Linked DNA regions of Notamacropus eugenii. The protein of the gene in region 4 purifies or fractionates together with the protein of the main gene of each other region. This does not show direct contact. Links are inferred from orthologs where the notes say so. Each region holds a gene or a part of one and is shown on either strand. Other genes may lie near its edges.

Region 1 (7,543 bases), on a different chromosome or scaffold from region 4:
CAAGATTTTTTTTTGAAAAACTACAATACTAATCTAGACTACCACACCATAATACTTGTTTGGGTTCACTTGATACCTACCACTACCACCGCCAAAGCCGCCTCCGCCTCCTCCGTTGTTATAGCTGTCATAGCTGCCACTCCCGCCATAGCCACTGCCCTGGTTTCCATAACCCTGTCCACCACTTCCATAGCCTCTGTTTCCTCCAGAGTAACCAGGGCCGCCTCCTCCATAACCACCTACAGAAGAATACAATTCTTCTCAGTAAGACAAATTTGACAGTCAAAAAATACATGCAAGCTTAAAGGCTCAAGGCCAATACACAGCATGCATGTTATGTTGGGACAATCAGGTCAAGCTCAACACATGCAGCACTTAAAAAACAAAAGAAAGACAACAAAAAAAGCAAAACTAGGCCTGTTCTAATGGGGGAGAGGAAGGGCCAAGAATCCTTTTATTTACCCAACTTGATATAATTATATTCTAAGTAAGATTTTAGCACATACCATCATTTCCAAATCCATTGTAGCCATCTCCACTTCCACCATATCCTCCACCACCACGACTGCCGCCAAAACCACCTGGAAGAAAAAAAAAAGGCATTCAGTTGGGCATCAGCTATCAAACCTAAATAAAAAAAAAAAAAACCCAACAAAAAAACGAAAGAAAACAAAACAAAACAAAAACCTAGTCATCCTCATCCAGCCAAGTTACCTTTACTATAACCAACTTAGGTACCAAATCAAGAATAACACCATATCCAAACCACTGGTGACCAAACTATCTGCCTGAAGCCAACAGTCCAAAATGGTAATAAATCAGAGGAATGCTACCAAACAGGCAGCAAAGTCCTGACAAAAGTCCAGAAAGAAATAGTAAGGATGGTCACTAGACTGGAGAGGAAGCAGCAAAGTTTCTCTTTTCCACATGAATACCTAAAAGCTTTAACAGAAGGCCCAAACAAAATTAAAAGTACTGCTGCTTGCTTACTGTGAAAATACATACCACGACCACTGAAGTTCCCACCACGGCCAAAGTTGTCATTTCCACCGAAGCCACCCCCTCGGCCACCACCAAAGTTCCCAGAACCACTTCGACCTACGCGCACACACACAAAAAGACCACCCTTAAAAAACTGGAGACAATAAGCACAAGATGGCAACCAAACCAGTGGTATAGAAAACTTACCTCTCTGACTAGATGAAGCGCTGGCCATTTCTTGCTTAGACAAAGCTTTCCTTACTTCACAGTTGTGGCCATTCACAGTATGGTATTTTTGAACTAGGAAAAAAATCTCCAATTAGAAACACCTAACTGCCGGTAAATCTCAACAAAGAAGATTTACAAAGCTTGGTTACTTCCAATACCATTTGTGATACTCACTGACAATCTTATCCACAGAATCATGGTCATCAAAAGTAACAAAAGCAAAGCCTCTTTTTTTGCCACTGCCTCGGTCAGTCATGATTTCAATTACTTCAATTTTTCCATACTGTTCAAAATAGTCTCGTAAGTGATGCTCCTCAGTGTCTTCCTTAATGCCACCCACAAAGATCTTTTTCACAGTTAAGTGGGCTCCTGGCCTTTGAGAGTCCTAGACAAGACGAAAAACAATCGGTGGAAATGGCTAGGAAACTCACAATCTCGAGGTCGCAGAAGCCTTAAAGGACTAACCCAACCTGTATTATAAATCGTTACTTCCAAAAAGATGAAGGAACATACCTCTCTAGATACAGCTCTCTTTGGTTCAACAACTCTGCCATCAACTTTGTGAGGTCTAGCATTCATGGCTGCATCTACCTCTTCCACTGTGGCATAGGTAACAAAACCAAAGCCCCTGGAACGTTTGGTATTTGGATCCCTCATCACCTGAGACATTAAGGGAGCAGAGACAACATGTTAGTAAGCAGTAAAGGCAATAAAAGGCACAAAAGTCTCTTGCAAGTACAAAAGCAGATGATGGGCCACTGAGCTTCTTGCACTAACCAATTTAAGAGGAAGTTATTTCCAACAAAAGCACATTTTAAAGATACCCCCCACCCCCACGTGTGAATTTTTCTCAGGATGTACAGCCACTTCCCGGGCCTCAGCACTCACCACGCAGTCTGTAAGCGTGCCCCATTGCTCAAAATGGCTCCTTAGGCTCTCGTCCGTCGTCTCAAAGCTCAGGCCTCCGATGAAGAGCTTCCGAAGCTGCTCGGGCTCCTTGGGGGACTGGACGACACGATTCAAAGAATTGGAAAAGGGAAGGGTCTTTAAGTCATGGCTGGTGGTCGGGAGGGGGGGGGGGGGGGAATCGGCGCGGGACCCTGGCTGAAAGAGGCGCTGCGCTTTAAAGTACACGCGCCCCCCCCCCCCCCAGCAGGGGACAAAGAGTGGGCCCGAGGTTTACACTAGCGCCCAGGCCCGCCTGTCAGAAGCCCGGGTACGGGTGGGTAAAGAAAGGGGGCAAAAAAACAACGCATGCGCAACAAAGAGAGGGTGGATGACCGCGAATACAAACGAAAAAAAAAAAAACCTGGTCGTCAGGCAATCGAAACCAGCCCCAAATCAAGGGGAGATAAGGCCAAACGAGACAAAGGGTTTGGGCCGGTGGCACTCGAAGAGCCTGTAACTCGAGGACCGCGAGGGCTAAAGGCTCATGGCGGCCGGGCCTACAAAATGGCGACCTAGGAGGGGGGGGTGTGGAAGGAGCAGGCCACAGCGACAGCAGGCTACAGAACTCACGGATAAAGGTCGTATTAGAGGCGTATTGGGCTAAGCACCGTAAGAGGATACGGGGAACAGAACAGAGAAGAACGAGATAGCACAATCGTTGGGCTGCGACTCCCTTACCTCTGACTTCGACATGGTGAGAGCGGTAGCAAAAGCTTCAGCGATCCTTCTCCAACGGTGTCGAGAACAGAAAGGAGATAGCTAACTAGCGTTTCTGTCTCCCCACCTTCGTACCCGCTTTTTAATCCCGCCTCCTCGCGTTCTGCATTGGTAGACTCCTCCCCTCCTTGTCAACCATTGGATAGCTCCAATCATTCTAGCTACCGATTGGTCTATGGTAGCGCATCTTTGCGTAGCGTAATGCGTTGCGTAAATTCCGCCCCGAGGAAGCTGCTGATTGGCTTCTGAGAAGTTCTTTTTTTTTTTAAAGCGCCTGATTGGCTCTCCTGCCAGTCACTCTTGTTTGAAGGTAACCAGTTTTTTTTAGGTAACTTTAATTTTTAATTGTTTAAAATATTACGCTATATTTAGGGAGGAAAACACTATTAAACGTGAAAAATTAAAAAAATAATAAATGACTAACAATTACTTCTTGGGCTTCTATTCTCTGAGAGCGCATGCGTAGTGCCACAGCCAATTAACGCAAGCGCAGTAAAAAGACCTGACGGCTATTTGTACAACGTGTAATGGCGGGGAAGAACGGACCTATGTAATACACCTGCGCAGTGGCGGGAGTCTTGTCCCTTTATGCGCATGCGCAGTGGGCGGAGGAAGGGTCCTTCGTTGGATCGCGTGCGCAAGCGCAGCGGCGGATCCGTTTTGGCGGGCGGTTGGCGTTGCGCAGAAGGCGGCGGTGGTTCCTTGTGGTCCGGCCTCTTCGCAGAGGAACGGGGACAAGGTTAGGGTGAGAGAACGCTCTCAGTCCCGGGTAAGTGGAAAACAACCATGTCTACACTTCTAGGTCCTTGGAGCAATTCCAATCGGGCCCGTTATTGTGTGAAATGAATGGACCGCTGGGGTGGGGGGGGGCGGAGGAAGAGCGACAGGGTTGATCAACCAATAGGCGAACAGGAGGCGGGTGTAATTGTCCTGATGGCCTGTCCTCTCGTCCAATGGCTGTATAGGAGGGAACCCAATGGATGAATAAGATTGACAAGACCGTAGACCAATTGAGACTCCATTTGGTGGTTCTTAGTAACTGACATCGATCCTTGGGCCACAGGAAGGCGGGAGGCGGGTTCTTTCCTGAGCTGGGACGCTCTAAGCAAATTGGAGAGAAGTGCGCGGGGAGGTTGGGCTCGCCAGAGAGACAAGGGTCTGAGCCCAATGTGAGAGATGAGGGCTGGGTCTTTCAGATAGATGGACCAGGCGAATAGCCAATGGGAGGTCAAACCAAGGAAAGCGCGCGGGGAGACGGCCCAATCAGCGCTCTGGCGGGGGGTGGGTTTAGATTTGGGGTTCCGAGGAAGGAGGATTGCCTTTTGGGGGTGGGGATCCCTAGGGGATGACTTGTTTTTCACGGAGGTCTGTGGGCTTGCCCAGTCCCATCTGTGGTCCTGTTCTGAGGCTTGTAAGCCTGATTGATCATCAGTGCTTGCCTTTTCTTCGGCCCTTTTTCCTCTTAGGGTTCAGTGCAGGCCAGGGAAAGACTAAGACCACATGTTTGTCTACAACCTTGCTTTGTACCCTATAGGCACACTCACCCCAAGACCACATGTTTGCAACCTTGCCTTGTAACACATACTTACACTGCAAGACTACATAATTTTTCTGGAATCTTGCTTTTTAGCACATAACACCCTCATCCAAGACCACATGTTTGTCTGGAACCTTTCTTTGTAACACGTACATACACTCCAAGACTACAAATTTCTTTGGAACCTTGCTTCTTAACACACATGTACACCAAGACCACATATTTGGAGCCTTATTTTTTAACATAACATAGATATTTGTCTGGAACTTGCTTTTTAAGGCACAAATATACACACACACACCTTCCCCATTTCACCCCTTTTCTTTTGCAATGAAGGAAATTTCAGACCTCTCTCTATCTAGTCATCTGGTCATCTGAAACTACCTCACTTGTAAAATGAGGAAACTTCCCAAGTAGCCATGCCTTGGGGAATCCAGAAGCCTTTCAATAACCAGGATGAATCCTTGAGGAATTGAGGTGATTCCAGATCCACACTTACCTATTCACATGTTCGTGAATGAAAGAAATGTCATCAGATGCTTTGTTCCAGACTAGTTCAGTAAGGGTTAATAATTGAGCTTCTTTGGAAGTAGCATAATTTAGGAAATTTTATTATATAGTCCCCTCTGACTTTGTACACAAAAGAAATAAAATTTTAAAAAGACATTTGGTAAATAAAAACTCAAAATTTGCTTTCCTGCTCATTTCCATTTTCTGTGATCTATGCAAAAGATGAAATCTTCTGAGGAGGCCCTGTAATTTCCTTGGTTTAGGGAAGCACAGAGTAAGGAAATCAAACTCCTTAAAGTGTCAGAATTCCTGGGATAGTTTAAGTGACTTGCCGGGGAACACTCAACCAGGATATATGTGTCAGAAACTAGACTTGAACCCATATTTTCTTAACTTCAAGACTATCTCTCTATCCACAATAACAGGATGTATCTGAAAGTGATCTAACTAGTCACAATCTCAGTATTTGACCACAAGGTGTGATGTGAGATGAGTTAAAATTAATCATTATATCATTTGTTTTAAAGGTAGGAGGGAAATGAATAATTTGATTTAATACCACATTTGATGAGAATCTCATGTGAACCTTTATCTGCCTTTCATATAAACTGGAGATTAAACATAGGGAGAAAGAGATATGCCATATGATAGTAGTATTTGAAAACCAGATTAACAAGTGTGTGGACTCTTTATTTAAAGATCTGATAAATCAGATCTATAGGCTTCACATTTTCCAAGAAAAGTGTATTTTTTGTGTTTTCCATGTATGGTTGAATAAAAACAAAAATTCATTAAAATTTTTATTATTGTTACTAACCTGTGACCTGTTAATTGCTATACATTTGTATTGTGTTCACAGACGTTGAATGCTTAAAATGAGTGTGAATGTGCTTTTGTTCAAAGTGGACTTTATTTCATTATTTCTTTTATTTTCAGCTAGGTTGGACCTCTTAACAAGCCATTTTAATTAAGTGGTTTGTTCACACTTTTTCTTTGGAAACTAGGTCCCCAAATCACTCCCTCTTCCAGTCAAGAATGGACAGCTGATTTACCATCTTTGGGAAAAGGTGTCTTCTTTGTCTGTGAGGATTCACCTTTGCAGCCTGTTAAATATGAAATGTGTGAACATGGCAGTTTGAATGACAGATTAAGTGAGTAAGGATTGGGAGGCTGAACAGCTTCAGGTTCAACCCCAGAAGTTCTTGGTTGTACAGCTAAAGTAAGCAACAGTTCTTGATTTAGTTTGTTTTGTTGAGAATTTTCCTCTTTTTAAAAAAAATTTTTTCGTTACATATTAAGTTCTAAACTGTCTCCCTTTTACCCTCTCTCCTCATCCTGAACTTAGAGAAGGCCACCATTTGAGACTGATGTGTGTGTGTGTGTATGTATATACACACACTCTCTATATATGTATGTGTACATACACACACGTAGGCATATATGCATGTATGTAAAACCTTACACTATATACATATATATATATATATATATATATATATATATACACTTCTATTTATCAGTTTTTTCTCTAGAGATGGATAGCATCTTCCTTCATAGGTTCTTTGTAATTGATTTGAGTATAATATTCAGAATAACTTAGTAGTTCATAGTTATTCCTCAAACAATATTGCTGTTACTGTACACAACATTTTCTTGGTTCTGCTCATTTTGCTCTCTTATTTTATGCAAGTTTGTCCATGTTTTTCTAAAATCAACATGCTCATCATTTGTTATAACACAGTAATATTCCATCACAAATCCTATATCAACTTGTTCAGCCACTCTCCAATTGATGGGCATCCCTGCAATTTATCCCTGCCACTACAAAGAGAACTGCTTTAAATATTTTAGAACGTAGGTTCTTTTCCTTTTACCCTGATCACCTTGGAAAACAGATCTAGTAGTGGTATTGCTAGGACAAAGGGTATACACAGTTTTATAATTCTTTGAGTATAATCCCGGAGTGCTTTGTAAAATGGTTGGATTAGTTCACAGTTCCACCAATAGTGTACTAAATTTCCAATTTTTTTATATCCCCTCCAACATTTGTCATTTTCCCCTTCTGTCATTTTAGCTAATCTGATAGGTGTGAAATGATATCTCAGAGTTTTAATTCGTATTTCTCTAAACAGTAATGATTTAGAGCATTTTAATATGACTATATATTGCTTTGATTTCTTTGAAAAACTGCCTGTTCATATCCTTTCACCATTTATCAATTGGGGAATGACTGACTTGTATTTTTTAGGAAATTCTTTTAACTTGTATCCAATCTTCCTTCCCCCCTTCCACTCCATTTATTCCTCATGGAATAGTCTACCGTGTTTATGGATAGAATTTGTAAATTTAATATGAATTGACTTCTAGTCCAAGGTGTTAAGTAAATGTTCTGGTAAATTTTATCCTGTTAACTCCCTGCCATTATGCAAGTGGGGACTTTTTATTTTACATCTATTATTGCTAACTTGGTCAGCCCTGAAGTGAAGCAGCGGAGGTGCTCTTTGTGCCAAAGAAATTCTCATTTGACCTAGTCATGTAATATTCAATTTTCTTTTTCTGCCATTGAAAAATCCAGATTGAGGAATAAGCTGGTAGAGATTCTATTAACTGTATTGAGCATTG
Region 2 (7,152 bases), on a different chromosome or scaffold from region 4:
TCCTTTAAGTTCCTTCTTATTTCAACCTATTTTCTGCAATCTTACCAACTAGCAGCATCTCTTATTCAAAATGTCAGTTACACTTTGTGTCACATTTAAGTACTGAGTTAGTGCTGTCTAAGTTAAAAGCTCCTTGAAAGTGGAACCACTTACTCTCAAGCAGTATCAAATCTAAATTAAAAGAAATTAATCTCTACCCACTTGGGTAGATGGGCACCTAATAAAAATCTGTTTTCACTTGCATTTTTTAATGGGAGAGAGGTGTGAAAAAAGGATAATAGGATAATACATTTTAAAAGTAAAAGGAAGTCCTAGCATATTAAATTCTGGGGTTTAAGGAGGGATGAGACAAAGATTTTATTTTAAAAAATGAAGATATGCAACAAAAGGATTTGGAGATTTCAGAAGTCTCAATGTATGTTTGTTAAACTGAATTCCTTTGAAATCTAAAATCCTGATTCCAAATGTAGTTTTTAAAAAGGTAGCCAGAATAAGATGACAAATACTTACTGTTCTGGGTTTGTCCATAGGAGGAGCCATAGCTGCTCTGACCATAGCCTGAGGTATCAGCTGATTGGCCATAACCACTGTAGCTCTGTTGGCCATAGGGCTGACTGCTTTGTTGGGAATAGCCTTGTCCAGGCTGGGTAGGGTAAGCTCCATAGCTATAAAAAGAACATAATTATCAAAAAAATGAAAGTTGGGACAGGGACATCTTGCCACCAGTGTATTCCCTTTGATGTCATACTCACCTTTGTGTGGCCTGTTGAGTGTAATCTGTAAGGGGAAAAAAAAAGTTTAATTATATTACTCTTATGTACATACACCAACCCTACACAGAAACCTATGTGCTTCAAAAAGCTTAATCTCAAAAAAGCATAATTTAAAAAGAGGGAGCAGTGTCACAAAAAGGATAAAGCTAAATATTCTAGTTCATAGAAGTGAGGATTTTCTGGAAAAAAATTTTTCTTTCATTCTAAAAGACTGGAGAAAGAAAAAAAAATCAGCGTGAAGGATAATGATAAACACAGCCCAAAGAAGTTAAAGAAAAACACCATAGACACCAATGTCTACAAAGTCACATTCATTGAAACATCCCAAAGTCATTCTCTCATGTATATGTGAAAACATAGAAAAATGGACTAAAAATGAAGACTATGAGGAATTCTGAGAAGCATGAGGATTCATGTGAACTGATTAAAAATAAGGCTAACGGATCAGGAAACAATACCAAGCTATACCTCCCAAAATAGATGAGTATATATCGAAATTTCCTTTGTAGGTTTATGTGGATATGAATATCCATGGTAGGATAATTACTATTTGAAAGGGGATGGGGAGGGGAGAGACAAGGAGGAAGGGAGTTTGATTGGTTTTGCCAGCTTGCCTTTGGTACCATTTTTATTCTTTTTTATAAGAAATAGTTTGGGGTAGAGATATGAGATCAGGATAATTTGGAAATAAAAAGGATGTGAAAACAACAAAAAAAGGTCAACGAAAATTTTCGTAAAATGAATTCCCAACGTTTCCTGACTAAAACTCAAACAGTTAGAAATATGACCATAAAGACCAAGACAGAGAAAGGCTAAGCAGTTTTTTAGGCGTCCTCCCTCCCCAAAAAGGACTCGCAGGAAATGGAGCAGAGAGGTATTCCAGAAGTCTCATTGTATTGAACTCCTCAGATAAACATCTTCCATGAAATCTCACCCCTTTTTAAGTTCAAGGGATTGAGGCTCTTTTGGAGAATAGTATGAAAGCCAAATAACCAAAGTAGACAGATGTCTTCCTCCATTCTTATTAAGAAACGTGGCGTTTGTTTTGTTTTTTTGTCCGGGTTCTGCCCCTTTCTCAGACTTTGGCAGAGGTTAAGTAATCTTACTTGCTTGAATCTCTTCGTAGTCATGACTACCTGCCCTACTTTTCACGGGGCTGCAGGAAGGCTCAAATTACAACAACCAGGGAAGCTAAAGGGTCATGCCCATCAGAAGCAGAATTATCACCCTGCTTACCCAAGGACGGCTGGGGCAGAGAACATGAATTCCGATTCTTTCAGAACAAAAAACGGCCCTTTCCACTCATAAAGAGAAATTACATTCAAGGAGACAGAGCTAATCCCAACCCTTCCTTCATAGTGCTAAAGGAGAGAAGCTCAACAAAGGAGTTCCATAAGAAGGTTGGCCTGAATCCCAACGCACCAAAAGTGATCTCCCGGGGCCGTTAGTGAACGGGCTAGGAGGGAAGGGGTCCTGGTAAACCTCCTCTCCCGGCCGACTGCCAGGCTGTCCATCCTTGGGAGCAAAACCTCGGCCGTAAGGTGGGAGAGAATCAGGAAAAGGGGGCGAGAGCGAACGCTGAGTGGGGGATGTCTACAGAGGAGCCAGGAAGAATCTGGGATGCTGAGAACCTGGGGGGAGGGACGCGCGCACCCCGATCAGGCCTCCGCTCCCGGGCAGGGCGTGGATCCCACGCGCGTGCGCACCAAAGTCGCCCGGATGCGGCACTGCGACAAAGCGGGCAGAGAAAAGCTCGCAGCGGGAGAAGGCGCTGAACGTTATTCCCCTCGGCTGCTTTATGCTCCTACTACCTAGGCCGCCGGGGGCTTCGTTCTCAAAAAAAGAGGATACCACAAAAAAGCCCTTCTACCAGTCAGCTCTTCTACACTAACGCGCCAGAACCACGGGACAAGATGGCGACAGCGGCCTCCCTTCTCCCCGCCTACCGCCCTCCGCTTACTTCCCGCCTAGACCGCGCGAGAATGAGACCCTTCCTCCCAGACACGGCCACAACCCATCCAACCATACTACCTTCCCTCCCGACTCCAGGCCCCCAAAAAGGGCTCCAGGCCGCTCCGAATGCTAACCCAACCGTCGCGCGAGGCGATCAGGGATCGGCTCACCTCCCCCACGAGCTCTTACCGTTGGAGGCCATGTCCGCGCACGCGCACACCGGCTGCCGAGCAACAGAAAATAGAAGGCAGCCGACCGCCGACGCCTCGAGGACTGAAAAACCCCACCCCCTGCGCTGAAACTTATGTACTCCTCCCCCTCCTCCTACGCACCGCAGAGGGCTGTACCAAGTCTAGGACATGGGGGCGGGCAGAAATGTAACGGGACGAACGCAAACTTAGGGAATTTTGAGAGGTGATCTACACAAAGAGATGAAAAATATAGACTATAGGAAACTTTTTATTTGCCCATTTTGTCTACGCTGGGCATAGAGGTAATATTGTTTCATTCTAATCAGAAAACCTGTAGCCTCCCCCTACGGATAGAAAAATGGTACGCTTTGAAGCAAAGGCAGGAAAAGAAAGGAAGGGGAGGTGAAGGGGGAGGGGTGACGGCCGTACGAGAACGAACCATTGGTGGTGATTGAGGGGGAGGAAGTCAGGCTCTGTTCCGGAGCCCGGTGGCTGGAGCGGAGGAGTTGGCCAGTCCTCCCCCCCCTCCTCTCCCCTCCACCCGTCGCCTCCTCCGGGAGCGGGAGGCGAGGAGCTGCTGCACTGTGGTTACAATGGAGGCCGGGGGGCCTGGCCCGCCTCCGGCCCCCATACACACACAGTTCCCCCCGTAATCCAGCCTGGTAACCCCTCAGTTCCCGCCGTAATGCTCCCCTTCCCCCCCCTCCCCCGGGAGCCCCCTGCCGGGCAGCAGTGTACTGGAGCCAGCCCCAGCGGTTCCTTTTTCGGTGTGAGCGTTTACGCCTCGGCCTCTGGCAGACGCTGCAGACGGGCTTAGGTTTATTGCCGTGTCCGTTATTCAGACTGGAGAAGAGGTTCGTGCGGACCAGGCCGGAGAGCACGTTCCGAAGGCCCTCCCCTCCCCCACGCCGCTCCCAGCCTCTGTGACGACCCTGCACAGACGGTTCCCCGCTCTGTAACCGCTGGGACTCCAGGGCACGTTTTCTTGGGTAGGCTGAGCTGGCTGAGATGTTGTATCTATCCACAGGGGCCTGTTCGTTCTTTCGTGTCTTAAGCACTTCCTGTGGTGAAAGAAATAGTCTTTTAATAATCTCTGTACGTGGATCATGTTTCTTAGAGGAAAGCTCGTTATCTACATGTGGGGAAGATCCTAAAGATGAGCCTTACCTGAGCCTGGTTTGAGATGTACCCTGAGGAAGCGGAACTGTGCCCCCCCTGAGCCCATGTGTCCTCCCTTGTGGGAGAGGGCTGAGCCTTGTTTTCTTTTATTCTTTGTTACAAGGGGTTTGGGAAGGAGAAGGAGAAAGAATTTATTTGAAAAAACGAGATTTCTTAGCTCTCTTAGTTGCAGGCAGACCCTGGCCCAGATGATCTCTGAGGATTCCTCAGCTCGGACATCACAAGACCCAAGGGTGGATTCTAGGATCGTGTGCTTGCTAACCTGCTCCTTCACTGTGTCCACTCGAGTGCACAACACGCACAGAGAGGGTGACCTGCAAGTGGAGGCAGGAAAGGAAAGTCCGCAGGGAGGCCAGCCTTCACCAGTCCAAGATAGCCTTGATTTTATTGTAGCTGTCAGATTGACAAAGACGAGAAAAAAGAAAAATAGTGAATGGTGAAGGGGCTATGAAAAGGCAGATGTGCCCATGAACTGGCCCATGAACTTGGCAAACGATGCGGGATTATACCCCCAAAATCATTAACTGTATACCCTTTGACACAGTAATACTTCTACTGAAATATACCCCCAACGAGATCAAAACCAGAGGGAAAGGTCCCACCTATTTATATGACAGAGTGTTTTATTGGAGTACTTGTCAGAAACAAATTTCGTGCCTGTCAGTTTTGGAAGTGGCTGAAAAAAGTGTGGTTTTTAAACATAATGAAATTATTTTACCATTGAAAATGATGAATATGAAGAATTCAAAGAAATTTAAGAATGTGAAAACATATTCAGAACAAAGTAAGAATTCTGTAATAACCAAAATAAATAAATTACACTTAAAGACTTCAGAATTCTCTCATCAATAAAACAATCTTGACTTCAGAAGGCTAATAAGGAATAGATAGATAGAAGATAGATAAAGTTAAACACTTACACTAAGCATTGGAAATAAAAATAGAAGCCCCAAAATGGCAGCCCCTACCCTAAATGTGCTTACATTCTAAAGGGGGAAGATAACATAAAAAAGGGGGTTGGAAATAGGGGAAGGGGGCACCAACAGGATACATCCCTACGTGAGGCTAAGGTGGAAAAGTCAGGCGGGTCAGGCACTAAGCCAAGATAGAATTGATGTAACTGTGGATGGTCTGGAGAATTCCTAGTCTTGAGAAGGGAATCGTGAATAGAAGAGGAGCTCCAGAGGAAGAAGCATCTTCTCAGTGAGAAGGTTGCCATTCCAGGGGTATGAGGGACCAGAGAGTCCCTCAGCAGAACTTAGCTCCATGTGAAAGACCTCACCAGTCAGATGAAGGACCAGAGGGACAGAGGTATTTTCAGGGTAAGAAGGCTGCTGACCAAAATGTGGAAGAGGCAGCAAAGAAAAGAGAGAGGCAGTGGATTATAGGTATAGAATGAGGCATACCCTTTAGAGAAAACCAATGTAGTGATCTACTTGATTATACTTAGTTGTAAGAAGGTTTTCTTTTGGAGCAGGAAAAGTCATAATAGGGAAAAAGAGCACCAAAAATATTTTAAAAGAAAGAAAATCAGTGGAGCCTGATTAGATCAGATGGATACTATTCTTGCCTTGGAGGAACTTGAAAATCTAATGGGAAGATAAAACAAGCATAGATTCCAGGTTTATCTATGTTACACATATAATTATATGTCAACAAAAGTACCTGATCAAAGACTAGAGCTCTAAAGGTTATATAAGGACGACAGACAGCATACTATTGTAATAAAGAGCACTCTTAGAGTCAGTTCAAGTTCAAGGCCCATCTTGGACCATGGACAAATCAGACTTTATGTCTGTTTCCCTCAGCTATACAATGGAGCTAATATACTGCCTAACTCATAACATTTTGTAAAGAAAATGCTTTGTATCCTATACTACAGGAAAGTAGGAGAGAAGGGGATAAGCAGGGTGAGGGGGATGATGGAAGGGAGGGCAAATGGGAGGAGGGAGCAATTAGAAGTAAACACTCTTGGGAAGGGACAAGATCAAAAGAGAGAATAGAAGAAATGGGGGGCAGGGGCAGAAATGGAGGGAAATATAGTCAGTCTTACACAACATGACTATTATGGAAGTCATTTGCAAAACTAGACATATATAGCCTATATTGAATTGATTGCCTTCTCAGTGGGGATGGGTGGGGAGGGAAGAAGGGAGAGAAGTTGGAACTCAAAGTTTTAGGAACAAATGTTGTGTATTGTTTTTGCATGCAACTGGGAAATAAGAAATACAGGTAAAGCGGTATAGAAATTTATCTTGCTCTACAGGACAAGAGAGAAGATGGGGATAAGGGAAGGGAGGGGTGTTAGAAGGGAGGGCACATTGGTGGAAGGGGCAATCAGAATGCAAGGCATTATGAGGTGGGGGAGGGGAGAGATGGGGAGAAAATATGGAACTGAAAATTTTGTGGAAATGAATGTTGAAAACTTAAATAAATTTTAGAAAAGATATCAATATATATAACAGAAAAAATAAAAAAGAAAATGCAAAAAAAAAAGAAAATGCTTTGTAAAACCCTTAAGTACTGAAATTGTGTATTATCATTATAATTGAATCAGGTGTAACAAGGATGTTGAGCAGGCCCAATTTCCCTAGGGAAGTCCTTGGCTACCTACATCTTTAAAACTGGTGACATTGAGCTGGTCACTCTCTTCTCTTCCATCTTTAGCCCCACTGGACCAGTAGTTCCAGCCATAGAGATCTTGGAGTGAGGATTACAAGTAGGGTAGTGCAGGCAGCCAGGCTAGCATGGAAGCTCTGAGAAACCAGGATGCCTGGGACTCCAGTCTGAGAGGAGCTGTGGACTTGAAACAGAAACTGTATTCTACGGGAATCCATGAACCTAAACTTCTTCCCTTCCCTAGAGACTGAGGTGGTGCAAAGAGGGGAGAAAGATTATATCTCCATGTGACAGGGAAGCATTTATGTGATTACACCTTATGAAGTAAGTATTAAGAGATGAATATTGACCTGTACGCTAAAGAATGGGGAATATACAACTTGGCCAAATATGGTACACAATCTGAATAGTCTAAGTATAGTCCATAGAACATATAG
Region 3 (6,906 bases), about 130 Mb from region 4:
TAGTGGTATCACTTAGGTAAACAGAAGCTAGGAAGGGGTTGGGTTTGGGAGAATAATGATAACTATATTAATAAAGATGGAAAGCGCTTATACTTAAAAAAGTACCAGCAAAAAGTTAACAGTTTAACAGAATAGAATAAATGTTTATCCCCAATCACATTAAATACATGGATAGATACACAGAAAAACCCCTAAAATCGAAAGGGGATTACTATTTTGTTCATAATAAAAATACCTTTTTGCTAACTCATAATGAAGCTCTTAATAAAAATTACCTTGATAATGTGCAACTATAAGAGAGGAATTCAAGGATTTCCTCAAGATAACAAAGCAGGTAAATACCAAAGTAGAACAAAACTTAAAACTTCTGAAACCTAGTTCAGGACCCTGCTACTGTTTGGAGCAATGTTAAAGTATCTGAAGGAAAATTTTAAATGCTTCAAAGTAGACAAAATTAGTATCCTGGAGTTTCCTCACATAATTGAGGCAGAGTAATTTTATACTTACTCCAATAGCTGGAACTTCCTCACTCTTAACTTCATTCACTCGAACCAAGTAGTTAACAAAATCTCTGGCAGCATTGCTCTGAGCATCTTTCTTATTGGTGGAATTGCCCATGCCAGTATAATTAAAACCTTCCACTCGAACCTGAAACAGAAAAAAAATTACTTCAAGAGTTAATAAAGAATCTGGACATCAGCAAATGTCTAACAATAACAAATCTCTAGAATAGCTCTCTACAAACCCTTGGCAAATACACAGCTCCACTCGTATAGGTGCTTGAATAATCACATACAGCATTTGGCTAGGGAAAAAATTACCACACAATAAAATCTAGATCCTCTGTACTCATATAGTAGCATATTCAGTAGCAAAATTTGGATAATTTCATGAAGAAAGCTTTCTTTATATATTACAAAGCAAGCACTTATGTATATAGTACATCAGTAGTGCTCCAACTCCGGAAATAGTTAATAGAACAAGTGAGCATATAGCTGATAAACTGTTGCACTTTCATTAGCCTCAATTCCTTTGTTCTGCCCTACTGGTATGGACAAGGGAGTCCATATTTAAATATGTCTAAGCTGGTATAAACCTCTTATCAACATAGTTCAGCAAGTAGACAGACACACACATACACTCTTACCCCCTACACCTCACTTCCTAACTATATTTCGCATAATTATTTTCAAAGATAGAATTTCCCTTCCTTGAATATAAACTTTATTTCTTATAAATCACATAAAGAATTATATTGTTTTAGTACCTCACACATGAATTTCTGTCTGTTCTTATTCCCCACGGCTCTTATTTCATAGGTTGGAGTCATTTTCCTTTTCCCACACCATGCATACAGGAAATTTTTGACATCACCCATGATGTAAATGTCTTGTTAAACCTTGAGAAAGAAAAAGTCAAAAATAAATTCAAAACACCAGCGAAATGCATATCATCATATACAAAGGAACAGAGCAAGATACTTCAACACACAAATAAATACAAACTTGGTAAAATTTTTTAAAATGTATACAGAACATCTTGTGTTATCCAACTATGTACTTCATTCTGCCTTAAGACTTAAGGTATGTCTAGGCACATATTACATTTAGGAAATTAAGTACATGAACTACAGATTATGGACAATTAGCAAGCTCCTCCTCCAGTGTAACACTAGAAGTCCCATTCCTTTCACACTCCTGAGTAATCAGAAACACATTTACTGAAATATTTTTAATGTACTTGGGGAACGAAAAACAAGATACCCATGGTACATAATGGGTGAAGTAATCAATTGAATTCTGTGCCAAAAGACACTGGATTCCATTTTCTCTCTGGCTGAGAGGCCTTGGAGAAATCACTGTAAGCCCTAGGGGAAAGGGTGGCACTCAACTAGGTATCATCCAGAAATCCCTTTCCAGCTCTATGACCTATGATTAGTTTACAGGTAATCATCCTTTAACTTGTTTGCAAATTCGCAATATGTATAAGAGGTTTTCTTCTGGGAAAATAAGGTTTTTATGGTAGTCTCCACCGTAAAAGATACAATGGCTTCTTATATGCCAAAAACCTGACCGTACAACATTGGTATCTGAAGATGCTGAGTCACAGGCCTTTCTTAAAAGTTACAGGTAGAGAAAATGTGCACCCAAGTCTTATAACTATCATCTGTATCTGGTCAGCTGCCAAACCAACGGCGACCAGGACTGCTGACCCATAAAACTGCCTCAAAATTAATAAGGAAGAGCTCGGCCAAGGTGTGCGTGGCCCGTGGCAAATCTAGACCTACTACGGACCTCAAGATTCACAAAGCGCAAGCTAAGCGGATCGTGGGTCACACTCAGGTATTAAAAAAAGGAAGATCACACAACGACCAGGCCCAAGTAGTGAGAAAGTGGCAGGAGCCACAACTACGGGAGTCTGTTACTGTGCCCAAGTTGGAGACTGGGAGCTCATGGCGACGAACAGTGTCATTATGGAAGACTAGAGAAACACAAGTTCGCTTGTTTATCTGGGAGAAAGAATAAACGGCGAAGGTACCTGATTCCCAAAACATACGTTCACTTCTCTTACACAAACTGGAGGTAGTAAAAAGGCTACTGAATTGGGTGAGCGGAGTTCCCTCCTGACGCATGCGCACAAGGACGAGAACGCGCATGCACAGTAACATCCGGGACACTGCGAAGGCTACCCCACCCCCACCCTTCCCCCTCACCCGCGCTAAGCGACAAAGCGGTAACTGCAGAGGAGCAAAAAAAAAAAAAAAAAAAAAAAAAAAAAAAACCAAAACAAAACAAAACAGTCTCCGCCCACTCATCCTCGCCGCGTCCAAAGACGGGAATGACTCCCCTTTCTTACCGCCTTTTTCCCCGTGTCCCCAAGAGCTGCTCTTCCGAAAGTCGCGCGTGGCTCGGTTCCTTCAGAGAGGCCCCACAGACACACAGCCAGCCGCGCGCAGCCCGTCGCGAAATGGCTCCTACTGCAGCGGAAGAAGGAAAGCGGAAAGAAAAGTTGCGCGTGCGCTTAAGTGGCATGGGGGCGGGAAACGTGACCAAAGACGCAAAAGACGCAGGGGTGGGCGGGGATAATTGGGGGAAGGAAGCCAATAGGGGGAGCCACCGTCGTGGGTGGGAGGGGCTACCGCTCGGGAGAGCCCGTTATTTCTCTGGAGGCGGGGCCGATGTCCGTTTGTGGCCGATCCCTTGGGGGAGGACCTTGGACATCGGACCCGAGTCCCGCAGCCTGCACCGGGGCACTTTCTTGTGAGCATGAAGGTTGCCTTTCATAAGACTGCGTGCCACGTATTGTGCGAAGAGAAACTCGGACTTTTCAGGGAAAGAACACGGACCCTGGAAAAGGTCCACCTGCCGCGCCTCCGTCACGTGACCTTGGGCAAGCTAAGCCTCGGTGTCCTCCTCTGTCCACACAGCGGAGGTTGCCCCAGGTGGTCGCCTGGGTCCGGAAATCCCAGGATTTTTTTTCCAGGCTGAAACAGTAACTACAGTATGTTAGCAACGTGAGGAACGTCAGTGATGACGAAGGCTGCCCTCCCCCTCTTGGCCAAGACGCAGAAGAAGGGGTTCTAGCTGTGGTCCTCTGGTTCCCGTCTCCTTGACGGGACCGGATTTTCACGCGAACCTTAACGGACCAGTTCAGTTCTGTTAGAAACAAGCCCGAGTTAAGGACTTAGTCCGTGCTAGCAGCTGTTCTAGGTGCTTGAGCTCGGCAGACGGGCAAGGTAGCCCCTGACCTGGGCCGAGCGTACCAAACTAAAGGTGGGCTGATTTTAGCGAAGAGGAGAGGAAAAGCCTCTTGGAGAAGGTGACCCTTTACAAGAGGCAGAGGTGAAGGGGCCACCGCTCCGGGAACGAGAGACAGGAGATGGAGCGCCGTGTACGAGAGGACAGCGCGCAGGTCACATACACATGGAACGGCAGCACGGAGTTGTGAGGAGAAGCGCAGTCAGCCTGGAAAGATAGGCTGGAGATCGGTGGTGAAGGGCTTTACTGCGAAATATCTACTAAACGCTGTAACTATTGCAATTGCAGTAAAAGTCAGTGAAGTCAGTTTATGACACGGACACAAATACCCCAGTAACGTGCCTTTAGGAGTTGTGAACAAGGAAAATAAAATGAAGACAGTGTGAAAAATAACAGCAATTCTGAGAACAGTTATCAGATGATCTATGTCTTTTTATCACATCCTGTAATCATTATGAACTAATTATGTTACAATTTTGAAATTCATTCAAATTCAGCGAATTCATTCACTTCTACGAAAGAAGCGTTCACTTAAAAGCTAAGTAAATGTACGTTAATGTTCGTGCTTATTCAGGTTAAAAGGATAGTGATAAGTAAAAAAAAATAGATACTTTTTACTCATATTTCTCTTCTAGACGTTAGTGTGGGGAACCCCTGTATTCTAGAGTTTCATAGAATAAACTCCGGGAGGGACCAAAGAGAGGTTGATCTTTTGAGTTAGCTCCCAGTATTGGAACCTGTTGCCTTAGGTGTCAGTTAAGTGGGAGTATATTTAAGAGTTAGTATTTACAGAGCTGAAGGACTAGGTATATGGAATACTGCATATTAATGTAGATATTTTTGATAAGTTTTTTAGTTTTCCCAGTTTTCCCTCCCTCTTATTCTTTGTTATAAAAGATAGCTTCTTTTATATTGGTAAATATAAACAGCATAAAAACAAGAGCTATCAATAAAAAGTTATTTTAAACAATAATAGTTTGCATGGCTGTGAACTGATCTATTTGGTTAGAACAGAGCTACACACAATGGATAAAAGAAAGAGGCAAAGTTAGGCTTGATGTCAGAAAAAACCTCCTAATAATTATAAATATCCAAAAATGAAATGAGCAGCATCCGGAGGTGGTAGATTCCCTCTCCTTGGAACTTTTCAAGCAGAGAGGAGTCAAATATGATGATGATTAAGGGACTAGAACGGGGTCTTTAATCTTTTTTGGTTAGGGCCCTCCTTGCCAGACTGGTGAATTCTATGGGCCCCTTTCAGAATGATGTCTTTAAATGCACAAAATAAAAAAAAAAACCAAATTATACTGAAATACTGCTATATTTTTTAAAAAGTCACAGACCCCAGTTTGACTCTGACCTTTCTGAAGACATCTCCAGTTCCACCTACACAGGCAAACAAAAAAGGCTTCTCTTAACCACATGGTTAACAGACCAGTGCCAGTTCCAGAATGTCAATGTATGGTCAAGTTTCTCCAAGGTATTTCCATTACATGTCATGGTGCCATTCTGTGCATATTCCAGTCATCTTACATATGTAAAACATTTTGGAAACCTTAAAGCATTATATAAAAGCTAACTATTGATGATAATTCATGAATGAGAAAGGCAACTCAAGTATCAAGTGAAGTGGAAGATGGAAAACTAAACGTTTCTTCTTATCCTTACAACCTCTTAAACCTCTCTAAAACAGAAATTATGCACCAAAAATAAAGCAACTTCAACTGTTCCCATGCTCTAGAATCCAGAAGAAGGTTAAAAAAAACTGCACCATGACCTGGTGCCTATCCTGAGTTCACTCAGCATCCTTTTCCCACCTCCTATGCTACGACAGTGAGGCTACACTAGAAAACCCAAGCATCCGACATATGGACTTGCAACAAAATCTAACTCCACACTATCATCCCCCTTCCATTTTTCCAGTGCTTTGGAGCCCCTGACGCCAGGCTGTATAAGTTTTCTTGGGCTGTGACAGCCAGTATAGTGGGAGCCCTTCAGAAGCAGAAGCCTGCTGGGGGCCATGACAGACAGTGCTATGACAGACTATCTTGTACCACCAGACCACAAAGCTCTGTACTAACAGTATCAGATCAAAGAATGGAGGAACAGAAGGAATGGAACAAAACACTGAAACAATATACTATGAAAGTAGAGGAACCATGTAGCATTTCACTAAACCACAGAGAAGAGCTCAGCATCCAGCTATGGCCATTTCTGTCAACCCAAAGGTCACCTGAGGCAGAGACCTCAGCTAATGAATCATGAATTGCACAGTGCAAGAGGAGGCTGGGGCACTTTGAAATCTAGCCCCCAAAGTAACCACCATCAAAGAGGGCAGAATCAGAAAGTAAGCTATAGGGGAAAATAAGGAAAAAAGACTGAAATGAACTCAGGAAGATGAAAACTCAAAGACCTTGAACACAAGCAAATAAATCAACAAGGAAAACACTAACAACAGAAGGGAACATTGCTTTTAGAGAGAGCAAATCATGAATAAATACTATAAAACAAAGGAAAATGTTCCAACACTTAATGAGACAGAAGACCTTGGAATGTAAGGACAACATAGAATCACAGCACACTATTCCTGAGTGGTTCAAAGGAGAAATATGAATTAAAGCAGAATTTATGGTTGTGTAGCAAAAATAATGGGCAGAATAGAAAAACTGGTATTTATGATGGCAAGTATCACCAAAGAAACAAAAGAGAGAAAAATAGATTGGAAATGCAAAAATACAGAAGTTAAGGACAATATAGAAGAAGAAAAGCAAAAAACAATCACATTAAAAGAACATATATTCACTATTATGCAAGAAAAATATACTGATCTTGAAGACAGGCCATGTAGAGACAACCTAAAGATCAAAAGTCTCCTAGAAGAATATAACAGGACACAAAAATCTTCAGCATCACAATGCTAGAAATAATAGAAGAAAAATTATCCAGACCTTCTGTGATAGAAAATGAAATAGCAATTGAAAAATATTCATGAATTCGTCACCTCCAGAAAAATATCCAAGGCTACAAACTCCAAGACATATGATAGTTAAATCTGACACATCATTTCAGAAACAAGTTCTGCAAGTGATCAAGAGAAGGTCTTCAAATACAAAGGAAAAGAAATCTGAGTAACACAAGACGATTCTGT
Region 4 (7,373 bases):
GGAAAGGACCCAGGCTTCAAAAGGGGAGATAAAAGATCAACAATCCCATTTCTTTACACCAAGCTGTTCCCTAGAGCCGAACGTTTCCGAGCGGAAGGCAGATAACAGAAGGGCCCGAGTTCTGACAGCTCGCCACCAAACAAGGGGAGGTCCCCCGGGAGCCTCATTATGCACCCCGGTGGGTGGGCTCAAGATGAAGGTAACCGCGGTTACATAAGGCCGAGGAGGGAGGGAGGGGCCGCCCGGGTACCAGGGGAGGAGTCGCGGCCCCGGGCGGAGTCCGCCGGGCCGCGTTCCCGCTTGGGCGGCGCTTCCCCCTTTGTCTAGCATTTCACTCTGCGCCACATTTTCTCAAAGCTGCCATTTTGAGCTCCTCCGCCGGGCGGGGTAACAAAGGCGCCGCCGCCATGTCCGGGGCCGGCATTTTGTCTCGCCAGCTCCCCGACGGGGCAGAGACCGGCCGCCCCCGCGCCCGAACGGCTTCGGAACCCCCCCAAGCCAGGCTGATTAGGGGACTTTTCTGGGGCTCCCCAAATGCCGCAGACCATCCCGCCGCACTCACCCCCGCTTGACGTCGCCTTTACCTCGTCTCCCCACCTGGGGCCTGTCCCCCCAAATCACAGCCCAGACATGAAAATAAGCGGCATCACAACAGACCCTTACATCCCTTCAGCACTGAGGGACAGGGCCACTAGACGCGGACCGCCGGCGCCCGAGGCCTCCTGTCGCCGACAGGGCTCCAGCCCACTTCCTCTCGACCCCACCCCCACCCCACCCCTTCTCAGCCGCGACTGACAAATGTCCGTACTCACCCTCGATCCCGGCCGCGGTCTCTGTCGCTCGAGTATCCAGACATGGCGTCAATGGTTGCGGTTGGAGGGAAGCAACCGAGGAGAAGCGGGAAATCGCAGGGGAGGGGGGAAAGGTGGCTTCGGCGGTCGCGAGGCCGTGCGGGGGCGGGGACTGAGACGGAGGCTGCAGCTAAAACAAGAGGAACCCAAGCCGGTGGAAATGAATGAGGAGCCAGAGGGCTCCCGGCAGCCGGTTTTATACCTGGACCGCCTCCTCCGCCGCAAAGCGCGATGGGAACCGCTCTATGACCTCATCGCCCCACCCCCTTCTGGGAGGGGGAGGGGGAAGACGCTAAGGTAACAACACCCGCAGGCGTTCCGAGCGCCGCCATGTTCTAGCCTCTGGTGGCGAGCCCAGCACCCCTCCCCCACCTTAGCTCGTTATTAACTCTTAGCGGCCCACCCGCGGATGTTTCCCTTTGCTTCGCCCCTTCTCTCAGGGAACGCCCTTACATTTCACCAATTCAGGAATAGTCAACCTCACTCTTAGGTTTTCCTACGCTAAGGCAGGCCGTAAAACATTAACGTCACCACCCCAGACTAGACGTTTGCGACTCTCAAGGACCACAGTACGCGGTCAGGGAAAAGGAGGAGGCGGAGGTTCCTCCGATCACGTGAGCGTAACCCGCAGCCCACTGGGCCGGCCACTGCACTATTTATCCACTCACTTAGGCGGAGGTATACGAAAAATGTAGAGCTGGGCGGCAGGCCCCGGCACCCGGCCGGCTACCTCCCTAGGTTGAATGGTTATACTAGGTCGGCCACCGGTCTGTCTAACCGACGGAGCGGCCTGAAAAGCCTGAAGCGGGAATAATCCCGCGGGGAGTTGTAGTAGTAGCCCCTAAACCGCTGCCTGGCCGCGTGCAGCGACAGGAAGTGCACCCAGATGGCCAATCAGCAGCGAGAAGCCGTTTTAACGTCCCTCCCTCGCCTCCCCCAGTTACCTTACGGTTCTCCTCGCCCTCCCCCCCCCCGCCCCGCGTCGTCCTGCCCCGCCACACTCCTTTCCCTTAACGGTCCCTCCAGGACACCGTTCCCCGCGAGCCCCGCCGGTGTACAGCTCTCGCGGACATGGAGGCCCGGGAGGAGGCTGGTGAGTCTCCCAGCTGAAGCCGACACCCATGGGTGGCGGGGGAAGAGGAAGTGTGCACGCTGCGAATGCGCGGGGCCGCCGCTCCTCCCCTTCGCCGGCTTGCCGGCTGGCGGGTGTGAAGCGTTTTTACCTAGCCTGAAAGCGCTTTGAGCCCATGCCTCTCACCCCCAGCTGAGCTCCAGAACTCGCTCTGGGGAACCCCGGGCTCCCTGGGAGGCGTGTTCCGAGGGTGGTTTTATGTGATGTGTCCCCTGTTGGGGTTCCCCTTTCCCTCCCGAGGCGGACCTGCCAGCTGAGAGGGAGGCACCCCAGCGGGCCTAGGTCTGGGGAGCACACGCCGGGCTCCGTAGGGCAGGCGAGGAGGGAGAGCTTGGTTATCTCACCCGAAACGCTGCTCCGCAGGTCTGAGCACCACTCGGCAGCTCCTCTCACGCGTTTGTTCTTTTTGAGAAGGTAGATTTGCGCTGATTGTAGGAAGTCGTGGTTTTTGTGTTGAAGGAACCTGAACAAAATACATTTTCCGACCGGAAAGCTGTTGGTGAAAACTCCAAGTTAGGTCCCTGGTCTTCCTTTTCTAATTCCTGTTATCTACGTATTGCTTGGGTCTGGCAGCAGAACAACCAGCTCGGTTTTTCACTTAAAGCTTTACCTAGTAATGTGTTTATGGTGTGAAATATTCACGTTGAGGGTTGTCAAATTAAGTCAGCAAGCGTTGTTTTAGAGCCTTCGGTGCGCCGGGAAGTACCCCCGAACCCTGAGGGTACAAAGAAAGGCAAACCCAGCCGCTGGGTACAAAGGAGATACAGACAGGACAGACTGAAAAAGTTCAGTGAAAAGGAAAAAAAAAAACCCCGGCACTCGAGGTCTGTCTTGTAGAATGGCCAGCTTTGTGCCTTGGTTGAGTTGCTGCTGTCCAGGAGCAGACAGCTGCTTTGGGCACCGCAGTCCATTATTGTAGTAGCTTGGGAAGCTTGACCGTGGAGAGTGAGTACTGCTGGATAGGTCTCCAGTGCCAGAATGACAGGGAATTGGTTTCCTATGATGGTTATCAGTTTTACCAGAATCAGATCAATCTTAAGCACCTCCTGCGAGCTAAACGCTGAGGAAACTGACAAAGGTGAAATAACCCCTCCCCTCCCGAAGCTTGTGGAGGGAAACAACATGCACGTAACTATGTATCAATGCAAGGCAGTGTTTGACTCCAGGACACCAGCAGCAGCTTCATGGAGAAGGTGGTGGTTGCGGAGAAACTAATGGAATCATAGCTTATGTTCATCTTAGAAGGATGAAAATTATTTTGACATTCAAAAGCTCACCATTTCAAAGTTCCTGGTGTTCCATTATTTTCACATCATGAGCTGCAGTTTAAAGTTGTGATGAAGTAACATTTGGGCTCCCATACACAATCTTAAAAATGTAGTACTGATTACTTTTGATTATTTCTATTCTGTTAGTAAAAACAGTATCTCAAAAGTGGATAAATTTATAATTTACTTAAAATACTAACAAAACTAAACCTAAGTCTTTTAGGAATTTATAGTCAGAGCTGTTATTTTCAGAATAATATTTAGAGTATGACTTTTCCCTACACTTGTAAATATTTTTAGTTTAAAGACAGCTTTTTTTTGATTCCTTATCTACTTAAGTAAACAGAACTCCATACTTGATTTTTTTAGATTTGCTTTTTTCCAACTCGATAACATTTTTTTACATCTTTTTTTTTCCAGAGTGGGTATCAGTTGCCAATAACCTTCTTTTGAAGTGTCATATTTGGCTGAGGATACAGTCTCTTTCTGAGTGTGATGCAAATGTGTTTATTACTCTTTATCATTCTATCTTGGGAGAAGTAGTACCAGGTAAGAATACTAAGACATGGGGTCAGTTTATTTCCTATATTTTGTCTCCCAGGACTTTCACTGCAGTTTAGTCTTTTTGCAATTACAAAAAAGAATTCTACCTATTTGAATTGAAATGTTACATCCGTGCTGTAATGCCCTGATGACAAACACAACTTTTCCAATTCTAAATCCATGTATGGTATTCTGAAGCTTAAATACTTTGGTCACATAATGAGAAGACAGGACTCTTTGGAAAAAACCGTGATTTTGGGAAAGATTGAAGGCAAAAGGAAAAGGGAAGTCAGAAGATGAAAAGGATAGATAATGTCACAGAAACAATAAACATAAACAGACTTCAAGAAATGGTGGAGCATAGAAGGGCCTGGCATGCTATAGTCTGTGTGGTCATGAAGAATCGGACACGACTAAACAATGATGTTTTAAGTCATTTTGTCAGGATTTAATAACTGCTTAATTGCAGCTCTGCTGAATAGATACATTAAAATGGCACTGAGATTGTATAAGATCCAGTCAGCATTTAAAGGTTTAAATTTCATTTTAATTTAGGAGAAAAAAAAGCATATTTACTTGAGGGAACTGAGTTTGTTGGGTTTTTTTGCCTTTTGAAGTCTAATTGTCTTTCAGAATTTGAATTCTTTATGTCAGTATTAGTGTGCTTTTCCCACTGTTTCCTCAGTCATCTTTAACATAACTTACTGCCCATGTACAATGAATCATCATTGATTAGAGATTCTGTGGTCCTCTTCCTCTCCACCATTTCTGCTGCCACACCCCTACACTAGACCCCCTGATGACCTGGATTAGTCAACATCTTCTGAATTTGGTATTTTGCAGTTATAAAACAATGTTATTTCCCTTTCCTTCACAGACCTCATAACTGTCCCTAAGAACCAAGAAGATCATGCACACAATGTACAAGCAATTATTGATTCACTGGCCTTGGATTACTTGCAGGTCAGCTTGTCCCATATAACAGGTTAGTAACGTGAACCATCTCAAACTGAATTCAAACAATTATATTTTTCCTGAGGAAATTATTTTGTTTCTTTGGACTCTATGCGTCATTTAATTGAGCAGATGCTGAAAGGGTAAGAACACTGGATTTACAGTCAAGAGATCTGTAATTTAATGCCCCTTTGTAATTAAGCCTTGAAGTAGCAAATATTTATCAGTTTCCCGCTCAGTACCAGGCACTTGGCATTGATGTAGTTGCAGAGTGTTTTACATATATTCTCATTTGATCCTCACAACAATCCTATGATAATAATCCAAGTATTGTGGCCATGATTATACAGATGAACAGACTGAGACTTGAAGAATAGAAATGACTATTTCCTCATGATCAGACACAGGAAAACATGACAGAGGTGAATTGGAACCTGTGTCTCTTCTGAGTCCATAGGTAATACTTTTACAAAAACATACGCTCTCCCAAGCCTTCCAGCCACTATTTTCTCATCAAATCACTTAACTTCTCTGGTCTTGTTTCCTTATTGATAAGAATGAGGGAATGGGACTAGTAAATTAATTTGTTCATTTATTTTCCTTCATTTTGTTTATATTCAGACATTAAGCATCTGGTGCTTTGCTCCTTGTTAAGAATCAGAGATAGAAAGTTGAAAACACACTTCCTGCTCAGTTGGATCTTACATACTTGCAAACAAGTCACTAAGACACTAAGACAGATAACTATAATGTATTTTACTATATAAGTTCATTTAGGAGGTGCAGAATAAATGGTCAAATGGTGGTGGTTTAGGGGAGGGAAATAAGAACACTTCATAGAAGTGGCATTCAGTTGTAGAAATTCAATTAGAGAAGAGGGAAGGAGGGAATTCTAGGCTTATGAGATTGTGTGAACCAATCCAAGAAGGTGGGAAAGTTCATGGTGTGTCCAGGAGCAAAAAGTAGGTACAATCCATCTGGTTTTCCAACAGTGAGAAGTTATATGAAATAAGCTGAGTTAGTATGACATAGTTTTAATGTCACAGTTCTATTAGTCACAGTTAAGACTGGCATCTTCATCTTTCAGATGAGGAAATTGGGGCCAGAAATTAAAGGGAACTCAATTGAGAGTGTAATTACAATACACAGTATGGGATGCTGAGCAGCTAAATTGTTCTCCCCACCCTGGAAAGCAGAGACACCCTGGAGTTACTTACAATTGTGTATTCTGATAGGAAATGAAAACTATGCAATTTCTGTTTTATTGAGTGTTCAGCTTTTTTTACTCCTCATTTTTATTCCCAGGAGTTCTTCTAGGCTTCAAATTCTTGCTCTGGATGTGTAAAATAATAACCATTATCTAATGTTATTTAAAACAAAAAAATCTGCTATACCACCCATATGAGTGGTACTAAATGGAGCCTTATTCATTTTAATTATGAATAAATAAGTGAATTCTCTCAAAACCAAAACTTTCACCATTACTTCTCCTCATGTTGTTTTGTACTACTGCCAGTACTGAGATAAAAAAAAGTTTAAATGGTCTTTACACATAAAGGCTATATTTTTCATAGGCTTTTAAGTTCATTTTGTGAATTGCATTGCCAATACAGTTAAGCTCTTAACAGTTTCAATAGCGCTTAAGAAAGTCCCTCCCCTTTAGTTTCCTTGCATGTTTTTGCCTACCTGATTAGCAAAAAGTGTGAACTCTTAAGTGTGTATGAAGAAGTAACTATATGAAATCTTATCTTTCATATCCAAATAGTATTTATATGGTAAATATTTACATAGTGTTTTTCATACATTAATTCATTTGATTCACATCACATCCCTTTGAGATAAGTACTACAAGTGTTGTTATCCCCATTTTACAGATGAAGACACTGAGGCTCAGAGAGGTTAAACGATTTTTTCCATTGTCACACAGTTAGTAAGTGTCAGAAGCAGGACTTGCACCCAGGTCTTCTTTATTTCAAGTACAGCAGTCAATCAGCCAGGCTCTAGCCCAACAAATTTCTCCTGAACAAAGTAGCATCTTCATGCAGGTAGGGACCTATAAATTCAAGTAGAATGTCTCCCTCTGATAAAAATTCACTAAATGCTTTTTATCTTATTAAAAATATAACTAGAGGATGTGCCATTTCAGCCTGTCCTCTTAAAAATAAAAGGAATGTTGGCTAAATAAATGCATATAAATGTAATCAGAAAAGATGAATATGAAGAAAACCAAAGCATGGGAAAACTTGATATGAACTGATGCAAAGTGAATTAACAGAACCATAAAAGCTATGTACATAATGATTACAAGTATGTAAAAGAAAAAAACCCAGCAACATAAATTGAAAACAAATTCTGAGAATTTGAATCCAAAGGAGAAATAGGAATGCACTTCCCTCTTCTTTGCTAAGATGGAGGGTTAAGGGTATGAAACGCTCTATGTCACACTTGGTTGTTGTGCTAGTTTTACTGAACTGTTTTTTCTCCCTCTTTATTCTTTGTTACAAGGGATAGCTCTCTGAGAGAGGGAGATAGAAGTAATATGTTGAGAGATAAAGTTGATTAAAAACAATTTTTAGAAGATAATGCTAATAAATTGCAATCAGCAAGCATCTATATAGCACTTAA

Evidence for each region.
Region 1: the proteins of DDX5 (region 4) and HNRNPA1 purify together in Homo sapiens (affinity purification with mass spectrometry; 4 studies listed by BioGRID and IntAct, with this or other methods). This does not show direct contact. The link is inferred for Notamacropus eugenii from reciprocal best matches to the Homo sapiens genes DDX5 and HNRNPA1.
Region 2: the proteins of DDX5 (region 4) and FUS purify together in Homo sapiens (affinity purification with mass spectrometry; 5 studies listed by BioGRID and IntAct, with this or other methods). This does not show direct contact. The link is inferred for Notamacropus eugenii from reciprocal best matches to the Homo sapiens genes DDX5 and FUS.
Region 3: the proteins of DDX5 (region 4) and DHX9 fractionate together in Homo sapiens (co-fractionation; 3 studies listed by BioGRID and IntAct, with this or other methods). This does not show direct contact. The link is inferred for Notamacropus eugenii from reciprocal best matches to the Homo sapiens genes DDX5 and DHX9.

What each region holds. Positions count from the first base shown.
Region 1 is NC_092874.1:227,403,407-227,410,949, reverse strand, and holds the start of HNRNPA1 (heterogeneous nuclear ribonucleoprotein A1), read right to left. Parts: upstream 3,019-7,543; 5' UTR 2,851-3,018; coding exon 2,836-2,850; intron 2,215-2,835; coding exon 2,098-2,214; intron 1,870-2,097; coding exon 1,723-1,869; intron 1,595-1,722; coding exon 1,384-1,594; intron 1,282-1,383; coding exon 1,189-1,281; intron 1,099-1,188; coding exon 1,006-1,098; intron 582-1,005; coding exon 507-581; intron 240-506; coding exon 81-239; intron 1-80. UniProt on the Homo sapiens protein: Involved in the packaging of pre-mRNA into hnRNP particles, transport of poly(A) mRNA from the nucleus to the cytoplasm and modulation of splice site selection.
Region 2 is NC_092874.1:377,559,248-377,566,399, forward strand, and holds the start of FUS (RNA-binding protein FUS), read right to left. Parts: upstream 3,008-7,152; 5' UTR 2,929-3,007; coding exon 2,916-2,928; intron 778-2,915; coding exon 753-777; intron 666-752; coding exon 511-665; intron 1-510. UniProt on the Homo sapiens protein: DNA/RNA-binding protein that plays a role in various cellular processes such as transcription regulation, RNA splicing, RNA transport, DNA repair and damage response. Binds to ssRNA containing the consensus sequence 5'-AGGUAA-3'.
Region 3 is NC_092873.1:462,361,171-462,368,076, forward strand, and holds the start of DHX9 (ATP-dependent RNA helicase A), read right to left. Parts: upstream 3,009-6,906; 5' UTR 2,857-3,008; intron 1,400-2,856; 5' UTR 1,379-1,399; coding exon 1,268-1,378; intron 649-1,267; coding exon 508-648; intron 1-507. UniProt on the Homo sapiens protein: Multifunctional ATP-dependent nucleic acid helicase that unwinds DNA and RNA in a 3' to 5' direction and that plays important roles in many processes, such as DNA replication, transcriptional activation, post-transcriptional RNA regulation, mRNA translation and RNA-mediated gene silencing.
Region 4 is NC_092873.1:327,525,286-327,532,658, forward strand, and holds the start of DDX5 (probable ATP-dependent RNA helicase DDX5), read right to left. Parts: upstream 3,020-7,373; 5' UTR 2,328-3,019; intron 1,945-2,327; coding exon of another isoform or gene 1,923-1,944; exon of another isoform or gene 1,812-1,922; intron 1,610-1,811; exon of another isoform or gene 1,520-1,609; intron 1,466-1,519; exon of another isoform or gene 1,305-1,465; intron 982-1,304; 5' UTR 857-981; coding exon 813-856; intron 1-812. Other genes in the region: CEP95 (centrosomal protein of 95 kDa), read left to right, coding at 1,923-1,944, 3,672-3,800, 4,672-4,779. UniProt on the Homo sapiens protein: Involved in the alternative regulation of pre-mRNA splicing; its RNA helicase activity is necessary for increasing tau exon 10 inclusion and occurs in a RBM4-dependent manner. Binds to the tau pre-mRNA in the stem-loop region downstream of exon 10.